Saccharomyces cerevisiae S288C: one gene and its partners. The protein of the gene in region 3 purifies or fractionates together with the protein of the main gene of each other region. This does not show direct contact. Each region holds a gene or a part of one and is shown on either strand. Other genes may lie near its edges.

Region 1 (4,713 bases), on a different chromosome or scaffold from region 3:
GAGGATCGCTGTTATCCACTTTGCGGCCCAGAATCCAACCATGGGCTAGCAGTCCGCTGAATTTATAGTAGTTTGGATTAGACTCGGAGCTCGTAGCCAATGCCGCCTTTATCATGAAAGGAACTACTACGGTGAACGCCAAATAATATAGTCTAAATTCCCATGTATTCCATAGCGGAGGAGATGGGCTATTAGAGCTGAGCACAGGGTTACGGGTAACAGTAACGGCACTAGAAGATGAACCATTCTCTTCTTTAGATGAATTGATAAATATCCTTTGTCGCCTTTTGAATTCAATGTCTGGCTTTATTCGTGAATCAAGTGCCTGCACGGAAAAGAAATGTACGATGCAACTCCAGATTCTTAACATCGACATCTGACTTGTAGCGATGACGTCAATTATTTTTGAGCCCTATAATAAGGTAGTTGAGAAGACAAATTTGAAGCACCCAAAAACCCTCAAAACAGTACCTACCTCAAAGCTAGCTTCTCTTTCTTCTTCTATTTGACTTCATTTTTTCCATATTCACCATTGGTACCTTCCATAAACAACTATAACGCAGTACAAATGAAAAAAGAAGAAAAAAAAAAGAAAAAAAAAGAGACCTAAACGCGCCAAGATTACAGGTAAACGAGTAGAACTTTGATCTATGTGCCTGAAAACCCCTCGGGCACAGGGTTCATAACGAAAAAAAAAAAATCGTAAGTAATGGTAACCATAGTAACCGATGCATGGGTTTTAAAAGTCACGTGCTTAAGTCCATTAAGACCGGAAACCTCTACACCAGTTCTCCTTCTGCAAGGGTTTTCTTTTTTTATTTTTTTTGATGGGATGGCTCTCTTTCCCCGTGTTTGTACTTTTGATATATATAGGATATTCATCAAAACAGCGTTTCGAACTCAGCGCTTGCACGATAACATAAGCACCTCGAGACACATTAGGAAAATTTAACATCCTATTTATTTATTGAATTTACAGGCACGGAAGGCCAATTAGTTTAATTCAGACACATATCATGAGAGCAGTCACTAGAAACAAAATAGTCAATAACCTATACTTTTCTACATTTCTCATTGCATTCGCATCAGTGGCCATCGGTTCTGTGCTGCCATGTCCAGCACATTCAGTGGATTCTGATTCACCAGCTGTACAGCAACACAAGCTTCAGCTTGCTCATGAGCAGGAGTTAAAGAGGAAGGATGCTTTAAGTAAAAAGATTTAAACAGGTACGGGCTATCTGGAACTTTTGATAAGTTGTATTCTATCTCTTTTATTTCCTCTTTTTATTTATTTTCGAGTGCCGTAATCTTCGCTACTTCAAGTTTCATAATCAATCGACTTTCTGTATGGGTAAGCATCTGGTGTGATGCAGTTTCATTATGACACCACAAATACAAAAGAGACTATTTAAATATGTATATAGATCACATTCCAAAAAAGAAAACCATTAATAATATCACTCTTTAATATTCCAAATTGAAACGAAAAAGCGCTATTCTTATTCGCTTCCTAACTACCGCCCTAGTTCGTGCTTGCATTTTTTTGTAGAACGATAAATTATGGTATCCCACGTGATTGAGTGTAACCCTGAATTGTTGAAGAGAAAATGAAGCGGAAGAAGCAAAGGACAAAAAACAATTCATTTGATTTTGCCACTTCTAAATGAAGGTCTAATAAAAGCTATCTTGAGCATCTTTATTAGATTCTGCACAGCAACAAGCGATTTTCTTTGGTCAAAATATAATAATTGACTTACGTTTTTCCCGGACTGTCCTTTCATAATATAATAACCATCTGCAAGCCATGTCAGATGAAAACCATAACAGTGATGTTCAAGATATTCCTTCACCTGAACTATCCGTCGATAGTAACTCTAACGAGAATGAATTGATGAATAACTCAAGCGCAGACGATGGAATCGAATTTGACGCCCCAGAGGAAGAAAGAGAAGCCGAAAGGGAGGAGGAAAATGAAGAACAACACGAACTGGAAGATGTGAACGATGAAGAGGAGGAAGATAAGGAGGAAAAAGGAGAGGAAAACGGGGAAGTAATAAACACAGAAGAAGAAGAAGAAGAAGAACATCAACAAAAAGGCGGAAATGATGATGACGATGATGATAATGAAGAGGAAGAAGAGGAAGAAGAGGATGATGACGATGATGATGATGACGACGATGATGATGAAGAAGAAGAAGAAGAAGAAGAAGAAGAAGGCAACGACAACAGTTCGGTAGGCTCAGATAGTGCCGCTGAAGACGGTGAGGATGAGGAAGACAAAAAGGATAAAACCAAAGATAAAGAGGTCGAACTTCGCCGTGAAACATTGGAAAAAGAACAAAAGGACGTAGATGAAGCTATAAAAAAAATAACTCGTGAAGAAAATGATAATACTCACTTTCCAACTAATATGGAAAATGTTAATTACGATCTTTTACAAAAGCAAGTCAAGTACATTATGGACAGTAACATGCTAAATTTGCCTCAGTTTCAACATTTACCTCAAGAAGAAAAGATGTCTGCGATTTTAGCAATGTTAAATTCAAATTCTGACACAGCTCTTTCCGTACCTCCTCATGATAGTACTATCTCAACAACAGCTAGCGCCTCAGCCACAAGCGGCGCAAGAAGCAATGATCAAAGAAAACCTCCATTGTCAGATGCCCAAAGACGTATGAGATTTCCTAGGGCGGATTTATCTAAGCCGATTACCGAAGAAGAACACGACCGTTATGCAGCCTATTTGCACGGTGAAAATAAAATCACCGAGATGCACAATATTCCTCCGAAGTCAAGATTATTCATTGGTAATTTGCCGCTAAAGAACGTTTCTAAGGAGGATTTATTTAGGATTTTCTCTCCATACGGTCATATCATGCAAATCAATATCAAAAATGCCTTTGGATTCATTCAGTTTGACAACCCTCAAAGCGTTAGAGATGCAATTGAATGCGAGTCTCAAGAAATGAACTTTGGCAAAAAGTTGATCCTGGAAGTTTCTAGCTCGAATGCTCGTCCTCAATTTGATCATGGTGATCACGGTACAAACAGTAGTTCTACTTTTATTTCTTCCGCAAAACGACCATTTCAAACTGAATCTGGTGACATGTACAATGACGACAATGGTGCTGGCTACAAGAAATCCAGAAGACACACCGTTTCTTGCAACATTTTCGTTAAAAGAACCGCAGATCGTACGTATGCCATTGAGGTTTTCAACAGGTTTAGGGACGGGACTGGTTTGGAAACTGATATGATTTTCTTGAAACCAAGAATGGAACTGGGAAAGCTTATCAATGATGCCGCATATAATGGGGTGTGGGGCGTTGTTTTAGTTAATAAAACACACAATGTAGATGTTCAAACTTTCTACAAAGGCTCACAAGGTGAAACGAAATTTGATGAATATATTAGCATATCCGCTGATGACGCAGTTGCCATTTTTAATAACATCAAAAACAACAGAAATAATTCTCGTCCTACTGATTACCGTGCTATGAGCCATCAGCAAAACATATATGGCGCTCCTCCTCTTCCTGTTCCAAACGGCCCAGCTGTCGGACCTCCTCCTCAAACAAACTATTACCAGGGTTACAGTATGCCTCCTCCACAACAACAACAGCAACAGCCATATGGTAATTATGGGATGCCACCACCATCCCATGACCAAGGATATGGTTCTCAACCTCCAATTCCAATGAATCAGAGCTACGGTCGCTACCAGACTTCTATTCCACCACCACCTCCACAACAACAAATTCCTCAAGGGTATGGTCGTTATCAGGCTGGTCCGCCTCCTCAACCACCTTCTCAAACTCCAATGGACCAGCAACAACTATTATCTGCCATTCAAAACCTTCCACCTAACGTTGTATCGAATTTGCTTTCAATGGCCCAACAACAGCAACAACAACCTCATGCTCAGCAGCAATTGGTTGGTTTAATACAATCAATGCAAGGCCAGGCTCCTCAACAACAGCAACAACAGTTGGGTGGATATTCCTCTATGAACTCATCCTCTCCCCCTCCTATGAGTACCAATTACAATGGTCAAAATATATCTGCAAAACCCTCTGCCCCACCAATGTCACACCAACCTCCGCCACCTCAACAACAACAACAACAACAACAACAGCAACAGCAACAGCAACAGCAACCTGCTGGCAATAATGTTCAAAGTCTATTAGATAGTTTAGCAAAACTACAAAAATAGACTCCCTTTTTTCAATCTTTTCCATTTCTTGTACATTATACTTGAATTCTTTTAATTGGACGAAAAATTTTTAAGGAAAGTAGATTGATATGGTTTGCATAAATTCGACATAGCGGTTTATGCTTTAATCGTTTTCCCTTCCCAAATTGGACTAGGACTTAATTCTTACTATTGCTGCATCTCTTTCAGAACGAAAAACTCTTTACCCTGTTATAAATTTCTTTTATTTCTTCCTTATCAAATGCTATTTGGTCTATTTATTTCACTTACACGCACCTCTTCATTTGTTTCCTCTGCCAAGAGAATGGCTTTTCATTTCTTTTTCTTCTCTTTAGTTAAATGTTCTTATATCAAAACTTTGTAAAATTGCTTTGTAAACAGATTATTAAGTACCGCTCTATTTACCCCATAACGAAAAGAAGTTCCGCGCTTAGGACACCTTTCCCTAGAGGTTCTTGTTTGATTTGTTTTAGTCATCTGCCTGTCGTTTATTTTAGTTT
Region 2 (3,579 bases), on a different chromosome or scaffold from region 3:
AGTTTTCGTAACAAAGTTCTTAAATTCCTCTATGAGCGTTAGCAATGATCCCTCTGTGTCTATCGAATGCAAGTCCTTAAATGAAATGATTAAAGATTTTTGTTCCTTTATTTCCCTACAAAGCAAATTTTCGTGCTTGAAATTAATTGATTGCAGCACAAGATTCAGGAATGCAATAATCGGCGATATTAGCTTAAAATCAAATGAGAATTTGCTATCATGGTTGTTTCTAAATAATGTCATGGGCCAATTGCTGAACTACTGTTTTGAAGTCATGAAATTCGTCAATGGCCTAAAAGTTTAAAAGTTCTATCATTAGTATATGGGGATATTTAAAAAAGAATATAACGTTGCATATGTAAAAAAAATAAAAGTAAAAGAATACTACAAGTCGTTGATAAAGAAATTTTACGTTATTAATATACACACTAAAAAAAATCTAATCTAATAATAGAAAAAGTTTTTTGAAAAAAAGAAAGCTGTTAAATATATAGGATGAGATGGAGTGATGAGAATCATTTCTTAGATTTCTTAGATTTCTTTTCCTCAGAATCACCGTCTTCAGACTTTCTTTTCTTCTCCTTTTTCTCTTTCTTTTCCTTCTTGTCCTTCTTTTCTTTCTTTTCCTTCTTTTCCTTCTTGTCCTTCTTCTCTTTCTTTTCCTTTTTGCTGTCATCCTCTTTCACTTCTTCCTTCTCAGTTTCGACTTCTTTGATTAAAGAATCTTCTTTAGCTTTCTTAGGCTCTTCTTCAGTTTCCTTAGTTTCCTGAGAGCTAGAAGTTGACTGTTCAGCATTGTCTAATGGAACATATTCTTTTTTCCATTGTTCTGGGGTGTTTTCGTTAACACGGCCGTATTTATCCAATTTGCCGTCTGCCTTCATTTGCTTCTTCTTTTGTGCGACTGGACCCAAACCCCATCTTCTTGGGTATAAATCTCTTTCCATGATACATCTCTTCACACTAGCAACAACACCATGATCACAGGAAGCTAAGTCAACGGTTGACATTTGTGCGATGGCAACGGCAATGGCTTCACCCTTGGTAGTTATCAAGACAATTTCGTCATATAACTCAATACCTTCTTCGTAACGCAATAAACCAGGGATCATCAACTTTGCACCATAACATACTGCATTGACAGCAGAATCCTTCACTACAATTCTCTTGTAACCAACCAATAGAGTTTCTAAAGGTTGAATAATGGATCTCAAGTAAGATTCATCTCTTGTATTGTCGTAAACCCATTGGGCATCCATAACATCATGTAAAGTGACCATGTTGTCATTTTCAGACAGAGCACCGGATCTAACACGACGCAATTCTTGCATGTGACCACCAACACCTAATAGCATACCTAAATGAACACACAAAGTACGCATATAAGTACCAGCTTCACAGGAAGCCCAGAAAACACCTAAGTTTCTCTTGTTATCGAACTCAATCAAGTTTGACTCATAGATAGTACGAACACGTAATTGTCTCTTAACAGCAGAGATTAAAGGAGGTCTTTGGAAAAGCGCACCGGTCAAGTTTTCTAGTGAGCGGCCCAAATCCTTTTCATCCTTCAAAGCATCATGCAATCTGACAATACACACATACTCCTTACCAGCACCTTGTTGAGACTTAACCAACCTGGTAGCTCTGTCAATACAAACAATCAAACAACCTGTAACTTTTGGATCCAATGTACCAGAGTGACCAGTCTTCTCACAACGTAAGATTCTTTTGATCCAAGCTACAACTTCGTGCGATGATGGGTTGGAAGGTTTATCTAGATTAATGACACCAGAGCTGATATATGATTTCAGGTCTCTCTTTAGTGGTGAACTACCAGCTGGGATAGGGGTATAATGACCACTTCTGACTAATAACTTATCAAAATTCTTCAAAAGTAATGGCCATTCACTAGTGTCAGTGGAAGCACCTGCAGCTTCAGGCTTAATAACGAAATCCTCCTTTGACATTGTGTATATCGGTCCTCTGTGTAGGTTGTAACGAACTCCAGATGATAATGAATCTTTAAAAAAAAAAACCAATAAAAAATGTTCTGAAAACTATCTTTACATTATATTTTTCCTAAGCTAAACATCTCATCATTTGAAAATTTTTCAAATTTTTTCAGCATTTTCTTTTTGCGAAGAGGGAAAAGAAGAAAGAAAAATTTTCAGTGAGAACAGAAGATCATATGTTACGAGTAGAAAATACTAAAAGTTTTTCGATAAAAAGGGAATATATAATATAAATAAATCAATCTGTCATTGAGTAAGTTTACAATGCAGCTGCCTCGAACTCTTTTTTCAATCTAGATTCCACCGCGTCAATGAACTCCTCGGTAGTGACATAAGCGGATCTTTCAGACTTACCGAGAATGAGCGCCAAATCTTTAGTCATGATTCCATCTTCTTGCACTGTATTTACCGTAGCGCTTTCCAATATTTGGCCGAACTTAACTACATCTGGAGTATTATCAAGTTTACCCCTTTGAATAATACCTCTAGTCCACGCGAAAATTGATGCAATGGAATTTGTTGACGTCTCCTTTCCTTGCTGATGCTGTCTAAAATGTCTTGTTACTGTACCGTGGGCGGCTTCGCTTTCAAAGGTTTTACCGTCCGGGGTAATCAACACAGATGTCATTAACCCCAAGGAGCCAAATCCTTGTGCAACAATATCTGATTCTACGTCACCGTCGTAATTTTTCATGGCAATTATGTATCCACCTTTAGATTTCAACATTTGGGCCACCATATCATCAATTAAACGGTGCTCGTACCAGATGCCAAGGGATTCAAACTTCTCTTTATAACTTCTAGCATACATGGCTTCGAAAACATCTTTGAATTTACCATCATACTTCTTCAAAATAGTATTCTTAGTAGTGGAATATAATGGTAACTTCCTTTCAATGGCCAATTCAAAGGAGGCCTTCGCAAACCCTTCGATCGAATCTGTAGTGTTGTACATCATCATGGCAACCCCACCATGTTCTGGGTAGTCAAATACCTTCAGATCTACATCATGAGTTCCGCTCTTGGATTTATAAACAAGCCTCAACTCGCCTTCTTCAGGGACTATTACATCGGTAGCTTTGTACTGATCGCCGAATGCGTGTCTCCCAATGATGATGGGCTTCTCCCATTGAGGAACTAGCCTTGGAATTCTAGGGATAATAATAGGTTCTCTGAACACTGTACCACCCAAAATGTTTCTAATAGTACCATTTGGAGATTTCCACATCTTTTTCAAATGAAATTCCTCGACCCTTGCCTCATCGGGTGTAATAGTCGCGCATTTGACAGCTACTCCATACTTTAAAGTCGCGGTGGCAGAATCCACAGTTACTTGATCATTAGTCTGGTCACGATACTCCACGGAAAGATCGTAGTACTTCAAATCAACGTCAAGATAGGGCAAGACTAACTTGTCCCTGATTAAATGCCAGATTATTCTTGTTTGCTCATCGCCGTCCATTTCCACAATGGGGTTAGCTACCTTAATCTTTGTCATTACGATTTTATATATATACGTACGTTACCTTCTTACCTCCTATTCTCGTGCCTGAGCAGCGACTGTAGT
Region 3 (4,064 bases):
AATTTTTGAGTGTTTTTAATTGCGACCCTAAAAATCCACTTAAAACTGTCTGAGTTGCGTATTACGATGACCTTCGGTTATTAAAGGTCAAATTTCATAAAGTAAAAGCTAAGTGAGACTTTGCTCTGTGAAATTTTATCAGCTTTGTACCTCCAGTTAGTTGAATGCGGTGATGAATAGCAAGGTACCCTCACTTGATTTGTCAATTTTTTGTAAATTAGTATTTTCCTGGAACCTGTTGGTCTTTTTTCCGTGCTATTTTGTTTATTTTCCGCGAAAACTAACATTCTGCCGTTAATAATGAGACCTCAAAAAAACGCAACTAATAAACTCAGTAATGAAGTCTAATAATAGTAAAATGATACTTCTCTTGACAGTTAAAAACAAAAAACGTTTGCATTTTGTCAATAAGAGCGAGTATTTAGGTTACAAAGGATAATAACTAGTATTTAAGACAAAAAAAAAAGGGAAGGGAGAAAAAAAAGATGATAAGTTTGTTGAGTAGGGAAGTAGGTGATTACATAGAGCATTAAGCTTGCTCAGTTTGTTGTTCTTGCTCCTTTTTGAAAGACTCATAGGCAGCAGAAGCTTCTTTGTAGTGTTGTTCGAACAATTCATCACTTTCCAACAATGGGAAGACCTCTTGAGGTGGCAAATCCAAAATCATACCAGTAATTTTACCAGCTGCTTCTTCATTTGAAGTCTTAGCAGAAACCTTCTTGTATAATTGTTCACCCAAAGCTTGTCTTTGCTTTTGTTGATAAAATTGGTTGTTATCGTTGGCATTTCTTGGGAAACCACCTTGTGGGGGGACGCCGTAAACCGGACCATTTCTAAATTGAGGTGGCATGCCGTTCTTTGGCATACCGCCCATTGGGTTCATTTGTTGTGGGTTTGGACCGTTGAATGGAACACCTCTTGGTGGCATAACACCATAGAACATTGGAGGCATGAATTGACCTGGCATACCGGCAGCGGCGGCGGCAGCGGCAGCAGTAGCTTGCTGGTATCTCATTTGATTTCTGGCTTGGATTTGTTGAGCCAATTGAGAACGTCTTACGTCTTTTCTTTGAGCAATGGCAACGTATAATGGCTTACCAGCAACAATTTGTTGGTTCTTTTCTGTAATGGCCTTAGTAGCTTCCTCTGGAGTTGAGAAACAAACAAAACCAAAACCCTTAGACTTACCGTTTTCGGTTCTCATAACCTTTGCAGAAGTGATAGTACCATATGGAGCAAATTCTTCTTCCAACTTTTCGTCATCAACGCTGTCATCTAAGTTCTTAACAAACAAATTAACACCTTGGTACTTGGCCATTTTTTCCAATCTGTAAGCTTCGTATTGCTTCTTCAAGACATGCATACGTTCATTCTTCTTTTGGGCACGACCAACGTATAACTTTTCTCCATTTAGTTCAGAGTCATTCAAAGCTTCAACAGCTTTCACAGCGTCTTCATGCTTTTCGTAGTTAACAAACCCGAAACCCTTCAATTTTCCATCAGCATCCTTTTCCAAAGAGGCAGAAACAATTGGACCAAATTTGGCAAACAATTCTTGGAATTGTTCGTCAGTAGTTTCGGAGTTGATGTTTTTCACATAAAGGTTAGTGTAATGTGCCTTAGTCTCTTCCAATTGAGAGTCACGTTCCTTTCTGGACAAGTGAGGAGCAACATAAATTTCTTGACCGTTCAACAGCATACCATTCAAAGCATCAATAGCTTCCTTGGCAGCACCTTCTTCTTCGAAGTGAACAAACCCAAAACCCTTGGATTTTCCGTTTTCGTCGGTGGCAATCTTGCTGGACAAGATGTCACCAAACACAGAGAAAGTGTCATACAAAGCCTTGTTGTCAATATCAGGGTGCAAGTTCTTGATAAAGATGTTACCAGAACCCTTCTTTCTCAATGATGGGTCACGTTGAGACCACATAATACGGCATAATCTACCCTTGATTGGAGTGTAGTTCAATTGCTCAATTGCTTTTCTGCCGGCTTCATGGTCGTTAAAGTTAACATAAGCATAGCCCAAAGAGGTCTTAGTGATGGCATCACGACAGACACGAATGGAGGAGACTGAACCGATTGGAGAGAAGATATCATATAAGTGGGCTTCGGAAACAGAAGGTTCTAAGTCACCAACATATAATGATGCAGAAGAGTTTTCAACAGATTGGCTTTCTGAACCAGTGGCGGCTTGCTTTTGGTCATCTTGAATATTCAAGTTTTCCAATTGTTCAGCTGTCTTATCAGTAATATCAGCCATTTTATTTTTATTGGTTTTTTAGTTTTTTTTGGATTTTTTTTTTTGAGTTTTTATTGAATAAAAAGCCAGATATTAGGTGGTGGTACCAGGGCCTGCTCTATGCTTCAAACGGTTATTAAGTAAAAATGTTACTTCGTAGCTCACTGTCCTAAAAATACAAAATCAAAACTAAAGAATTTTACACAAGAAAGAAGAGATATAAAATACAAGATGACACTTTCTATTAAGTAAAACAGAAACCTCTTTCCTTGGAACTGGAGCGAAAGAGAACAATTGTCCCAGAACTTGCGATGGTGATGGCAAAAAGCGCAAAAAAAATTTTCTTTGTAAAAAGGAAAGAGAAAAAAAAAAAGAAATAATCTTCGATTAACAGTTTTCGTTAAACATGATTGATCTATCTGCTTTGTGGCTTCATACAGTATGACCTCTTATATGGTCATAGTAGTAACTAATTAAGCATTATTACTTTACGGTGCCCTATAGTACACACACTTACACGCAAATATATATACATAAATACGTTTATAGTTATGGGGGGAAGGAACAATGGAAAATGTGGTGAAGAAAAATTGTTTCACTTCTTTTGAGACTCTGTTATCTTGTCGTACATTGCCATCAGCTTTGTACTCTTAACGTCGGCAGGCCAAAAGTTGGCACTGTAAGACCAAAGGTGCTTGCGATATTTTTCTGGGCTTGCCTTTCTCGATGAGCCCTTTTGCGATTCGATATGATTACCAATCGTAGTTAATTCGGTCTTCAAAATTTTGGCCCATTCCTTACGATCAAGACTTTTGCCGCCTCTTCTAAGTCGCTTCAAAGAAGTACGTATTGCACTCATTGTGTGTCGACAGTCTTCTTCATCCATGCTGTCATATTCTTTTTCGTGAGCGCTGCCGCTACTGGGGTTGCTTGATTGCCTTGTACCATTATCTCTGGAAACCTTGGACTTTAATGGGGGCGTGGGGCTGTTTGGAGACAATCTCGTGTTATTTATTAAGGCGGCAGGACCTTTTGGGAGGGCTTTCATACGTTTGCTTGGCGGGCCATTTGCAGGCTCAGAACTTGTAATTTCTGGAGTCATGGATTTGCTGTGATTAGCAGGTTTTCTTTGTCTCTTTTTGGAAGGACCAGTAGGGAGTTTTTTCGAGCCTATGTCAGCACTGGGACTCTTTGTATTTAGGCCTCCTCTTAAGAAGGATAATAGATAATCAACTCTTCTGCCCAAGTGAATGGCACCAGGTACTTTTTTTGAAGAACCCGTTATTCCCTTTCCTTTCTTTGAGGGTGTTGGTGTTGTATCAGAGGAGCTTGCCGACTTTTTTGCTACCGGATTGTGAACTTCATTCAAGAATATTTTATCAGTAATGCCTAGAAATGGATCGTCTCTTATTTGTGTCCAGGAACCATATCCATATTTGAAAACACCAATCAATAGCTTCTCATCTTCCTCTTTCGTCCAATTAGATGACCAATTCTGTACAGGCTTAGGTGTGTTGTTGCCTAGGCTAAACTTTAATGGATCATCTTTGTAGTTTGAATTTATCAAGTTCTTCAAGTACTTTAAATCCTCCACTCTACTTAGTAAAGATTCGGCGTTTAAAGATTTAACACCTTTAAAGTTGAAAAGGACGGCTTTCTTTTCTCTTTTTTTTAAAGATAATCTAGTCAACGGATTATCCTTTGGTTGGTTCTCTGCTTTTATTTCACCGCTTTTTAGCTTTGCTCTATAGGCGGTAGCATGCTTCTCAAGTTTCTCCAAGATTTCTTTTCTATTTTTCTCTTCCTCGTGTACACAGTCTTT
Region 4 (5,289 bases), on a different chromosome or scaffold from region 3:
TTTGATGAAAACGAATACGCGCAGGATGATATGCATTACTTTCCCGAACCGCCTACACATTTGGTTAGAGAAAGTAGCATAAGTACTGTCGCAAGGCATGTTTCATCAGGTGTAGATCTGACTAATTCTGAAGAACATCCTTTGGATACGGATTCTGATTGTAACGCCCTTCGTCTCAAACTTTCCAAAGCGGATAGTTATAGAAGTGTAATTCGTCATTAGAAACTCTGATCAATAGCATAGTGTAACATAGTGTAGCATACCATTCAGGTTGTATTATATACGCAACAACAATAAAATATTAATTTAATTATTGCGATGACAATTAAGTAAAGATGATTGAAGAAAACAATACTAACAAATTTTGAAGCATTTGTATTTACTTAATTTTAAATTTATTATTATAGGTACAGTTTCAATAATATATTTATATAAAGCTGATATTTTATATATAGGAAAATTACGCTAGGTATGTAACATTGATTAAAAATTAAAAAGCGGAGTGATAACGAATGTAGTCCATCCTCCGAATCTTTTTAAACTTCCTTTGTTTCTTGAATCCAATTCGAAATTGTTCTCCTAGTGGATTCGTGTGGAATAGCGTTATCAATGTTGGCAATGAATTTGTCTGCTAACTCACGATATTCGTGGGAATACCTTCTTAATATACTTTTAATAAACCCAATCACTGTAAAATATTTCCATTTCAAATCCAGTTTATCATCTTCAATATCGTCGATGTCCATTTCCCCGTTGACTTTAGGTATCTCAATATCTTCATCAGCATTGACATCTAGTAAGTCTATAGTACTGTTGGCGATGGTACATAATCTTTCGAAAACGAACTCAAAATTATTTCCACTTTCGTTCTCTTCCGAGATTTGTTGAGATAAATTTCTAAAGACCGCTTCAATTGCTGTAGCTTCAATCAAACCATTATTCTTCAAACCAGTTTCGTTAAATATAAATGTAAAAATGGTTCTGGAAGTAAGTAAACCTGCATATTTGAATGCATCTGCTACTAAGAAACCTGTCTGAGGGTTGGCGTTCCAAAATGTTAGGACGGCTTCAATTATGATATACTCTTTTGTCTCGATATCCAATTCAATCTTCGCAAATATGGTTTTGAGATCTTCTTTTAAATCATTAATATATTTATTAGCATGTGATAAAGATCTACTACCAGAGTCTGTAACGGCCTGGACTAACAATATGATAACAAATCTGTTAAAGTCGGAAATTATGGAACCATACTCATTCTTTAACTCACCTAGAATACTTTCTAATTCAGTAACTTCCCTAGAATTGTTTGCTTTGTGGGTATAATCTAAAATTTTACGGACTGTGTTTTCCATAGGTACACCTTCTTGTCTAAAATATAGATCATTTTTTCTAACGGAATCTTCTTCTACCGTATAACCGGTGAATAATGATTGATAGTAGTTAATCAGTTGATCTCTTGGAATGTAAGAAGTATCCAAATATTTCGTGAATTCTTGTGGTAGGCTGTCCTCTACTTCTGAAAAGTTAGAGGTCAATCGTAGTTCTTTTTGAATCAAATTTTTAGCAAAATTTACCTTTGGATTATAAAAATACTTGCCAAATTTGATCGAATCGTCTTCCCATTCATTCCACTTCCAAGAAAAATTAAAGTTGCTCATTTGAATTGAAAACCAGTCCAAATATCTTAATTTTAGTTCAAAATCTAATGAATCCAAATGACTATAAAAAAACCTAAAGGCTCTACCAAAGACAGGAGCAATTGCTTTTGGAGAATTTTGACAAATATCCACCAATAAAGTGTAAAAGTATGCAAAAGGCTGGGAAACACTAGGTAATTTAAAAATAAGTCCCAAAATGGTTTCAATAGCCAAATCTTCTATCTTAAATGTAGGAGCCAATGGGTTCTCTTCATAAGTGGCAATTAATTGGGCAATAGATTCACCAGGTTCTGTAAATATACCTGCTTTGAAAAAAAGATCCAAAGTTATCACTTGTCTAGCTACTTCCTTTCTATTGAATTCTAAACTTTCCACCAGATCAATAATGATATCGTTGAATAATTGACCAGCATAAGTGCTGATTGGTACAACTGTTTCGAAATTACCAGCGGAGTTTGGCAAGTAAACATGAAAAGCATACCTTGGTGTCTTCCACATGCTATCAACTGAACCAAAGTTTTTATTCAAGCGCACGAAAGACTTTAGATCATCTACTGATGGAAGGGTTAAAGCGTCATTGAACCCTTCATCACCGGTTTGGGGAGTTAATAAATGATTCCAATCAGGAAATAATTCATTCAGCTGTTCCAAGTTATTGATTAGCGCCTTCTTGACGTTTGGTAATACGACTCGGACAAGTTCTACCATTTCATATGGAGGTTCACCATTGTATTCTCTTAATAGGTTTATATCCGTTGTTTTAACTAGATAGTTTTGTTCAACGTATGCAAGTAACTCCTCCACTTTTGTCCTCAAACCGTCATTATTCCTATTAAAAAAGAACAAATACGGGATATTTAATAATGTATTGGTGTAAATTGCTTCAGATAAAGGAACTCTGTTACCTGGATCCAGATTGTTTAATTCGATACTCAATTCAAATAAGCTCTTGTAGATATTGATTAGTTCATCAACTAAAAACATGGGCGATAGAATGGATAAAAATCTCAGGATTAACTTGATCTTGTTCCATGGCCCAGTTTCATTTGACGTACTCTTGAATTCATCATTATATGTTTGCTTGCACCATTTTTGTAATTCTTCGAAGAAGTAATTGATAATACTCTTTCCGGCAACATTATTTTTCGAATTAACAACCATGGTTAAGAGAGCGATAGCAGCTTGCTTCTGTGGTTGCTCCACAACAACAGCGTTTAAAGTGCTCAGTAAAGCATTATTAAAGTAGTCCTCATGGCCATACTCATTCATTATAGCTTCACTCAAGAATTTGATATCATCTTCAAAAGCTTTAACAGATTCACCAATAGTGCGAATATCGGGCATCATTTCTTTACACAGTTGTACAACAGGTGGGATTCTCTGTCTTTTAGGCATGCGAGGCCTAAAATCACGGTAATTTTCATCTTCATCGAAGTCTAACGGTAAAATCATATGCAAGGTAGTCAAAGTTGGGTATGTTAGTAATTTGAATGAAACTGAATAATTGAGTTTTTGTAAAACCAAGCTAACCTAATAATCCTAGGAATGTAAAACAAAGTAAAGATGGAGAGTAAAATAAGAGAGGTTACTTGCCGTTATGTATTCTACGTGTACCGTTTCTCCACTTCTCTGTGCCACAAAAGTACACTTTTCTGTCACACCGTACTAACTGACAAAAAATGGAAATACCATCCTAATTGGTCTTGATATACACACTCTAGAACGAAACTTCTGGAAAACATTGGTTTTAAAACATACCTCCTCTTCTTTTTCTATTAAACATCTTAAATATATTTAAAATGCAATTGTAGCCCCAAACGCGTATACCAAAGTCGTTTTGATTAGCAATATACCTTCTGTCCTTCCTTTTTTACCCATTATACACTTTCACCTGTTGCTGAGTGTGAATTATATTTTTTTCAACTTTTTCAAGAACAATCTGAAAAAGCATCTTCTACGTGTAAAGTGATTTTATACTTACGTAGTATGATTTTGGTGCACTAAGCGATATATACAATAAAATACATCATTCATCTACTGTAAACGTCCTTTAAGCATTTCAATTTCTGAATCTCTCTCATCAATAAGTTTATTCAAGTTTTCAATTCTTCCTACTAGTTCCATAGAACTTGGTTTGGTGCCATTTTCTTGGAGTAATAACTGCTCCTCCGCAATGAATCTCTTTAATCTCTCGTCATTTAATTGCTGGATCAATTGCACAATTTTACTGGATTTTTTTCTCAGTTCCTTTTCAAAGTCAGAAAAAGACACACTCGAAGAATCGTCAAAAGATGGTGCTGAATTATTGGTTTCATACAGCCGTATTCTTTCTTCTAATTCAGTTTCCCTTTTTATCGATTCTGCTAATTCTGTAGACACCAGTGTCAACTCATTCATTAATTCTTTGTTTTCTGTTATCAAATTCAATTGCTCACCAGATATTGTTATCATCTTTGGCTGAGAGCTATCTTCTCCACTAGTTGATCCGGCGGAAGTTATGTCTCCTCTCCTAGCATATAACGGTTCATACGGTTTGGCTAAAGTATTATCAAAACTGAAGTCTTCTTCTGAAGCATTCATGCCATCCTTATCGTAGCTAACTGGGGCTGATTTTGTTTTGGAGGGTGAACCATCCATATGCGGTACAAAATTATCAGATTCTGAGGCGGAATCAATATTCAACGGCAGCGTATTGGAGATGAACGATCTACGGGAAGAGCTGGACATATGAGAAACTGCTGATAAATGACCATCGCGATTATTTTTTTTATATAGAAAAGTATCATTGTTGATGTTTTCCTGGTTCATGGATATGTTGACATTACTTAGTCTCCTGCCATTGCCATCGGATTCACGTCGCTTAATGGTAGCATCTGAGACATTTCTTTTGGGATCTCTTTCCGGTATGGATTGTAACAAAGAAGCCCTTTTACTAGTATTGAAATCAAAATCGACCTCGTTCGTTGTATTCATTTCGCCATTATCCGAATTTGAGTTATACTTTCCGGGAGAGGGGAATTCTTGTGCGGTCACGTATTCATTGATATCAGTAGAGTTTTCTAGCTTATACATACCTGTTCTGGTATTGATGATTCTTTGCTTGGAGGGAGAATCACTAAATGTGGATGAGAAAGTCGACAAGGACGCTCTATTGGCGACTGCACTTTCACTTTCCAATTTAAGATCTTTTAAACCAGTCTCTAGCGCACTCGCAGGTCTTAAATTTAAATCGTCTGATTCATGTGAAATTTCCTCCTCTTCATTTGCTTCAGTATTTTTCTCAGCTCTTTCCTTTTCTTTTTCTTCTACTAGTGCTTCTCTCTCACGTAAAGATTTTTCCATTTCAGCTAGCTTCCTTTCTTTTTCCTTTAACTCGTTTTGTTGAGGAGTGGATAATTGCAAAACATTCAGTTTTCCCTTGTTTTCAATAGGTTGATCAATGTTCACTTGTTTTTTTAGTGGTGAAGATCCTTGTTTTGTAGAGTTAGGCATTGCTGTAGCATCAGTAGGAGATGACGGAGAGAATGTAGTCAGGGAGTTGTTTTGTACGTTCGGTATTGAATAAGCTGAATTATTCTTTGAGGAAATTGACGATTGACTGATTGGCTGTTTCATGGACACAGCTTTA

Evidence for each region.
Region 1: the proteins of PAB1 (region 3) and NAB3 purify together in Saccharomyces cerevisiae (affinity purification with mass spectrometry; 2 studies listed by BioGRID). This does not show direct contact.
Region 2: the proteins of PAB1 (region 3) and CBF5 purify together in Saccharomyces cerevisiae (affinity purification with mass spectrometry; 3 studies listed by BioGRID). This does not show direct contact.
Region 4: the proteins of PAB1 (region 3) and STO1 purify together in Saccharomyces cerevisiae (affinity purification with mass spectrometry; 4 studies listed by BioGRID, with this or other methods). This does not show direct contact.

What each region holds. Positions count from the first base shown.
Region 1 is NC_001148.4:184,817-189,529, reverse strand, and holds NAB3 (Nab3p), read left to right. Parts: upstream 1-1,804; coding exon 1,805-4,213; downstream 4,214-4,713. Other genes in the region: GUP2 (putative O-acyltransferase), read right to left, coding at 1-376; COA2 (Coa2p), read left to right, coding at 1,017-1,223. UniProt on the Saccharomyces cerevisiae protein: May be required for packaging pre-mRNAs into ribonucleoprotein structures amenable to efficient nuclear RNA processing. Binds to poly(A)+ RNA. Appears to act in the maintenance of CLN3 mRNA levels.
Region 2 is NC_001144.5:504,522-508,100, reverse strand, and holds CBF5 (pseudouridine synthase CBF5), read right to left. Parts: upstream 1,968-3,579; coding exon 516-1,967; downstream 1-515. Other genes in the region: RFX1 (Rfx1p), read left to right, coding at 1-304; isocitrate dehydrogenase (NADP(+)) IDP2, read right to left, coding at 2,272-3,510. UniProt on the Saccharomyces cerevisiae protein: Catalytic subunit of H/ACA small nucleolar ribonucleoprotein (H/ACA snoRNP) complex, which catalyzes pseudouridylation of rRNA. This involves the isomerization of uridine such that the ribose is subsequently attached to C5, instead of the normal N1.
Region 3 is NC_001137.3:508,572-512,635, reverse strand, and holds PAB1 (polyadenylate-binding protein), read right to left. Parts: upstream 2,264-4,064; coding exon 530-2,263; downstream 1-529. Other genes in the region: chromatin-remodeling ATPase CHD1, read right to left, coding at 2,838-4,064. UniProt on the Saccharomyces cerevisiae protein: Binds the poly(A) tail of mRNA. Appears to be an important mediator of the multiple roles of the poly(A) tail in mRNA biogenesis, stability and translation.
Region 4 is NC_001145.3:515,694-520,982, reverse strand, and holds STO1 (Sto1p), read right to left. Parts: upstream 3,445-5,289; coding exon 3,420-3,444; intron 3,098-3,419; coding exon 537-3,097; downstream 1-536. Other genes in the region: DLT1 (Dlt1p), read left to right, coding at 1-222; EPO1 (Epo1p), read right to left, coding at 3,696-5,289. UniProt on the Saccharomyces cerevisiae protein: Component of the CBC complex, which binds co-transcriptionally to the 5'-cap of pre-mRNAs and is involved in maturation, export and degradation of nuclear mRNAs.